2 linked regions of the Coturnix japonica genome follow. Each later gene encodes a partner of the first gene's protein in a complex. Links are inferred from orthologs where the notes say so. Each region holds a gene or a part of one and is shown on either strand. Other genes may lie near its edges.

The links.
Region 2: the proteins of AGK (region 1) and TIMM10 are in contact, whole or in part, in a cryo-EM structure (PDB 7CGP), measured with the Homo sapiens proteins. The link is inferred for Coturnix japonica from reciprocal best matches to the Homo sapiens genes AGK and TIMM10. Residues at the interface, in NP_060708.1 of Homo sapiens: Phe49, Gly50, Asn51, Gln52, Leu53, Ile54, Pro55, Pro56, Val60, Ser91, Gly92, Met93, Asp94, Val95; in NP_036588.1 of Homo sapiens: Glu40, Glu42, Leu43, Ser44, Lys45, Gly46, Ser48, Arg53.

What each region holds. Positions count from the first base shown.
Region 1 is NC_029516.1:55,072,471-55,076,292, forward strand, and holds part of AGK (acylglycerol kinase, mitochondrial), read right to left. Parts: intron 2,682-3,822; coding exon 2,602-2,681; intron 1,538-2,601; coding exon 1,462-1,537; intron 364-1,461; coding exon 271-363; intron 1-270. UniProt on the Homo sapiens protein: Lipid kinase that can phosphorylate both monoacylglycerol and diacylglycerol to form lysophosphatidic acid (LPA) and phosphatidic acid (PA), respectively. Does not phosphorylate sphingosine. Phosphorylates ceramide.
Region 2 is NC_029520.1:7,774,979-7,777,891, reverse strand, and holds TIMM10 (mitochondrial import inner membrane translocase subunit Tim10), read left to right. Parts: upstream 1-1,527; 5' UTR 1,528-1,595; coding exon 1,596-1,666; intron 1,667-1,838; coding exon 1,839-2,040; 3' UTR 2,041-2,127; downstream 2,128-2,913. Other genes in the region: SMTNL1 (smoothelin-like protein 1), read right to left, coding at 1-568.

The sequences.
Region 1 (3,822 bases):
CCCCAAATAATTTTCTCATTGTGGAGTAAAATTCTGGAACACAGTTATGCCAGAGACTCTTATTCCCATCATCGCTTTTAGGCAAACAAAAACCCGTAGAGTTTTCTTATCCTTCCAAGATGATAATAGTGACTTAATATATGGATGTGGCAATGGACAAATCTCCAGTAACAACTATTGTGATGTTGCAGCCAGGTTACGTGGACTCAATCTTCTCACCCTCAGCCATGCTACAATTCTCAGCAAACCAGGACAAAGCTGCAGCCATACCTCTTGTACTGTGCCATCTCCTCCTGCAATAATGATCAGATCTGTGTTTTCCATCAGTTCCATCAGTTTTTTTGCTTGTCCTTCATAATCAGTCTGAAGAAACAGAAATTCAAACATGAGAACCCAGGTGATTATTTCTAGGATAGATACATAAATGTGTGTGCTTTTAATATACAGAAGAGAAAAAGAGTAATCTACCATTTTGTTTAACAGTTATTTTCACATAAGCACATCGTACTGTACGTCTCTTATATAACATTCTCTTAAATTTCTTCAACTTAAGAAACCAGTCCTTTGCCTAATACAATGTAAAAAAATAAACACACACACGGCCTAATGAGGCTTTCACTCAGCAGATTTAGAATATCCAGCAATAATCAAATTTGCAGACAGTTTTACATTTAAATAAACCCACAAACAAACCACTCTTGCAGAAAAAAGCCTCTTTAGAGGCCAAAGTGATTGAGTGCATCTCCTGAAGCACAGAAACAGCTATATCAAGGGCTGCTGCCCAACAGCAGGCTAGGAAAGCTGCTAAAAACCAGTTTAGCATTAAGTTCTATGCTCGCTTTCTAAGTAGCAAACTGCTTTCTGCAGAATGAATGCTTTTTGCAAGGACATTTCAGACCCAGTAGTGGCATAGCTCTGTTTCACTCCCTTTCCAGATCTGAAGTTACAAAGCATTAGTTCTAATTCTTTTTCTCTTAAGCTGGACTATGTGTTTTCAATGATCAAAGAGAGGCATTAATAAAACAGCATCTTAACACTAAACAGAAGCTTAAGAAAAATATTCCAAGACAGAAATATATATATTGCAAGACATAGTGAGTACTAAACAATCCACATATTACAGCCTCAAAAACATGCAAAGAGACAGGAATCCCTTTATGTTTACTTTTTCCAAAGAAACCCCCTCAGCTAAGTCAAGCCATTTACAGCTCAGCGTTCTGCTTCCATGAATTATCTGGGGATACACTGACAAATTTTAAGGGTAAAAACACAAACTTATTTTTGATTAACTTGAAGAGTTCCACTGCACATCAAAGCTCCTCGCTTCTGCATTCTGCAAGATGAAACAGAACTGACCATTTCAGCAGCAACAGCCACGTACCACTAACCAGCACTCAAGTACCGAGAGAAGAAAGCAAAGAAGACACTATATTCCTATTCACAGAACCTATCAGTTCTCACCGTAACTATATTTACATCCAAGCCAGACAGGTGCAAAATTGGAGCAGCATTCTTCTCAAAAAGGTTCCTGGCTTTGCTAGAAGAAAATAAAAAAGGAAAAACAGACATCAGACGGGTGGCAAAAGAAAAAAACAAAAGAAAAGTAATAACTGAATAATGACAAGAAACATAGTTAAAAACAGAGCATACAGTTTATCGGTCACTCAGCCTGCCAGCCAAAGCCATTTGTCATTTGTTTCAAATGTATTATATTTCATAGTCCTATCTGATCTGACAGCTTTTTGTTGCAGTTTTAATACATGCAGGAGGTTATCTGGCTTCCTCCAAAATTAGTTTCAAAAGTCAAAACAAGATCTCCAGAAAGAAAGTTACTGAAAAACTTATCTGATCTTCTTCTGGTACAGGATTTGTGCACGTTAATGCTTGTAACTCCATGGTAAAAGAATGATTTGTTAACTATAAATTACTTAGAAGTAGAAATATGAGAGATTTAAATTTAAAGTTGGAGGCTTTGATTTATTAACATCGGGCATTTTTTAGTCATAGGTGTTTGTTGTAAAGGCACACAATTCCAAACACTTCTATAACAGATATGCCATCCCTATGGTATCTGTACTGAACCCCCCAGAGGTGCAGCTGAGAAGAAGCCGAGCTGATGAGCAGAATCAGACATGCATCATATCCAAGATAACTTTTTTTTTACTAATGAGTATACAAAAGCAGCAGCTGACCTCTTCCAGGAGTCTTGCTCTGAACCCATATTTAGCCTCCAAGTTTGTGGGCACATCCCTTTAAAGGACATGTTCCTACAGAAGTCAGATCACTGAGGCTAACGTCAACTCTGAAAGAAATCAAGGCCAACTTTCTATGGTTTTTGAGGTAAACATGCCACATACAAAGGGATGTGGAGAAATGACAAAGACTCAAATGCAGGATAAAGTATTTGGAAATCATTCTTTCAACTTGAGCATCTAATTCTGTTTATCATCCCAACATCTTCAGTGATACATACTTTGGCATAGTTAAGCAGCAGCAGCTTGGCATCAGAGGGGGACAAAAACGAGCTCAAAAATTGGCCAGTTTTTATAGTGAATGGCACTTAGATGTACAAAAAGGAGAGCAGGGGAGGGGGAATTTTACCCTTTGCAAGCTGCTGGATTGAGGAACACTGTTGCTTTCTTCAAAGGCATATTGGAAGGAATCAGTTCGTTGCCAAAAACCTGAACAAGAGAAAAAGAGCACAGTTCCGTTTAAGAACGTTGGTAAGGGAGCTCAAATTAATTAAAATTTTTATCTTGAAGAAGGTGGACACGGTGCACAAAACACTGTAGATTTTAGTGATCATCAGCTGCTTGAACTCAAAAGGACTTTCTCTCACCAACTTTGTTCAGGAAGCCTCTGCCATAGAAACATTCCAACTTCGCCAAGGAAGTTGCTGTGAGCAAACAAATGGTCAAAGAAATGGCAACAAACCAACCGTTCTGTAGTTTCACTCCCAAAACAGGTAAAAGAATGATTCTGTATTTTACCACAGTTGTTAGAGGAGCAGGATTGGGAAAGATACGACATATCACAGCTGTTAGAAAGGATTATTTACTTGGAAGAGCGCAATGTGATGCATTTGCCTGCTCTAAACAACCTGAACAGGCTCATAAAAATGTACAAGTATTGGCATGACTGTTTCTTTATGTAATAGATGAGGACATTTATGTTACATATGGGGGCACTTCCAAAGCAAATTCTGATTTTCAAGACAGGTAATAGAAAAAATAATCATGCAACATCCTTTTAAGTTTTGCGATGTCAACTTAAGGCCGGAGATTAAAAATGATTATTGAATAGATAAGAAGGTATAATTTCAGAAAGGCAATATCCTTTTCAGCTCCTTGTTAAATGCATAAATCCAGGCACTGCATTTCTGGACTTCTAGGATGAAACTCACTACTTTGCGATTATGAAAAACCCATTCTATGAGGCTTAACAATGCTTTATGAATGCAGAGACGTGATGTGCCTTTACAAGAAACTATCCCCACTTGACAGACTAACCAGTTTGCCACATAAGCATCATCTATTTAATACATGCCCAGAGCTCAGTAACATCAGCCAGAGCCCACATCTGTGAAGTCCAAAGTCAGCTGACACTGGTTTATTCAAGAGAAGGAGGTGTAAGAGGTTTTCAGTTTTGTAAATGGGTTCTTTATTGTGGAAGCCTTCTATCATCATCTGCCGCCCCAAGGCTGTCATCACAAACTCATCTTTAAATTCAGATGTGTTCTTGCAGGAAGCGCTGCTGTAGGGGATGCTTTGGCAGGAAGGTGGGTTATCACCAATGTGGTACTGTATTAGGCTTAAGAACTCA
Region 2 (2,913 bases), on another chromosome or scaffold:
TGTCCCCCTTAGCCTCACTCACAGCATCTTTTGCAGCCTCCCCCTTAGCCTCACTCACAGCATCCTTTACAGTGTCCCCCTTAGCCTCACTCTCAGCATCCTTTGCAGCCTCCCCTTTAGCTTCACCCACAGCATCCCTTGCATCCTCCCCCTTAGCCTCACTCCCAGCATCTCCTGCCATGCTGACCTCACTCACAGCATCCCCTACTGCCTCCCCCTTAGCCTCACTCCCACAGTTCTTCTCTGCTTCTACCTCGCCCCCAATCCTCGTATCCCCTGCACTCTCCCCCCCAGCGCCCCCTTCATCCCCCCCAGCCTCCCCCTGCCCTTCCTGTGCTGCACTTTCCCCGCTGTCCCCCCCCACCATCCCCTCTGTGGGCCCTGTTGATGTCTGTGTGAGGTCACCCAGGGCAGTGTCATTTGGGGTTGGGGCTCCATCGGTTGTTGTGGACTCCATGCTCCTACTGTGGGCTGCAGGGTTGTCACTGAAGTATCCACCGTGCCTTCCACCCCATGCAATCCCATTGCACTTCTGTCCCTCAGCGTTCCTCCTGCCCGCCCACCCCATCGGCCCCAACACAGCTCCCAGTCCCCATCCCATCCCCATTATTTATCCCTTCCCATCCACCTCGACCCAACCCCCACCCCCCACTCCTGTCCCCAAACCCCTCCCTCCCCCCTGCACACCCCAACCCAACCCATTCCCCATTCATGTTTTCCTCCTGCCCCCTCCCAGCTCCTCCAGCTCAGTCCCAACTCCACAACTCACTCCCTACCCCCAACCCCGACCCCCCTCCATCCCGTCCTATCCTCGTTTCTCACCCCAAACCCCCGACGTCCCCCCCAGCCCCCCGGCGCCCCATATCCCGGCTCACCGCTCTCCGCTCTCCCCGCGGCCGTGTGACCGCCGCAGGTGCCGCCTTCAGTCAGCGCCGACGGGGCGGGTCGGGGGCCGGAGAGGGGCACAGCGGGGAGGGGACGGGACGGGACGGGGGGGAGAGGAGGCCGGGCGGGGCCTGGGGATAGCGGGGACTGCGGGATGGAACGGGGACACAGGGACACGGACACGGGGGGACGCGTGCACGTGAGGACATGGGGGGACGTGGAGGCGATATCGGGGGGATATGAGGGTCACGAGTGGGCACGGAGACACGGCACATGGAGGAGATGGGTGATGCGTGGGACACGAGGGGACACGGGGGACACATATATGGGAGAGAAGGGTGACAAAGGGAACACAGAGTGCCCTGATCTGTGGGGGGACATAGGGGACACATTGACATAGAGGGACACGGGGCCATAGACCCGTAGCAGACACAGACACGAGGGGGCAGAGCCGTGAGGGCAGACCCACGGGGACACGCGGAGGTCACGCGTGGGCCGGGCCGGCCCCGATCCATCCCTGCCCTCCATCGCCTGCCCCCGCCCACCCCGCTCCGCACCGCTCCCCACGTCCCATCAGCGCTGAGAACGAGCCGTTGTCCCGCCCCCACCCGTCTCCTATTGACCGAGAGCGGCGGCGGGGCGGAGCGCCTGAGCGTGTGGGCGGAAGCGCGTCCCACGTGCATCCTGCGGGAGCGCGGTGCGGGAGCGACATGGACCCGCTGCGGGCACAGCAGCTGGCGGCAGAGCTGGAGGTGGACATGATGGCCGACATGTACAACCGGTGCGCGGCCTGACGGGACGGGCCGGGGCCTGGGGGTAGTGCCCGGGACAGGGAGGGGCTGGGAGAGCGAGAGGCGCGTGGGTGTCGCGGGTGGGGGCTGTGCGGGGGCTGTGCGGGTGCCGGGGGTGGGGGGTGCCGGGCAGAGCCGTGGGGTGACGGTGTTGTCCCTCAGGATGACGCAGGCGTGTCACCTCAAGTGCGTGCCCCCACACTACAAGGAGGCGGAGCTGTCGAAAGGCGAGAGCGTGTGCCTGGACCGCTGCGTGGCCAAGTACCTGGATGTGCACGAGCGGATGGGCAAGAAGCTGACGGAGCTGTCGCTGCAGGACGAGGAGCTCCTGAAGCGCATGCAGCAGGGCACGGGCACCGCCTGAGCCCTCCCTTCGGACTCCCCTTCCCATCGTACCAATAAACTGGAGGCTCTGGGCCAGCTGTGTGCTTCCCTCGGCCCCCCAAACCCGTCTGTGGTGCTGTGTCAGGGGGTGTCCCACTAACCTACTGGAGATGGGGGCACCCCGGCGTGTCTGCTGTGCCCACGTCAGCCTCGGGGATAGGCTGAAACCTTCCTTATCCCTTATGGGGTCAGGACAGGGCTGTGCCCCTCACTCTGCTTGCTGGGGGGACACTGGGGAGCACCTGGAGAAATGGCCACAAAGGGACACCTGCAGGGGGGCAGTGAGAAAACAGCACACCTGCATGGGGACAGGCACAGAGACATTTGGTATGGATGGCTGGAGAGGGACAGTGCCCTTTCCACACCTGGAAAAGGACCACACAGGGACACCCACGTGGGGACACTTAGGGGGGGACACCTGGATGGAAACAACCCCAGAGCCACACATACAGATGTGCACACATGTGTAGGGAAGACCTGCACAGGGTTACTAGATGGGAACACCCAGCCAGAGACACCCCAGCCTGGGGGTGGGCACTGTGTGTCCATCCACCCGTACACACACAGTGCGCCTGTGCCGGTGTGTCCCCGGGGCTGGCTGGAAGTGGGTCAGGCTGCGCGCACACTCACTGTCCTCACAGCTTGTGGGTCGCATTACGCCCCACCGTGAGCCTGTCGTGCAAGCAGTGGGTGTGCAAGGTGCTGCAGGCGTGACAACGGGGTGGCATTGCTGAGTGTAACGTCGGTGTGTCCGTCCAGCCGTGCCGCAGCGAGCGGTGCGTGCGCCGTGGGGCCCTGCGGCCGGCAGCAGTGGTGCCGGGGCCATCAATATTTCACGAGGAGAGAGTGCCGT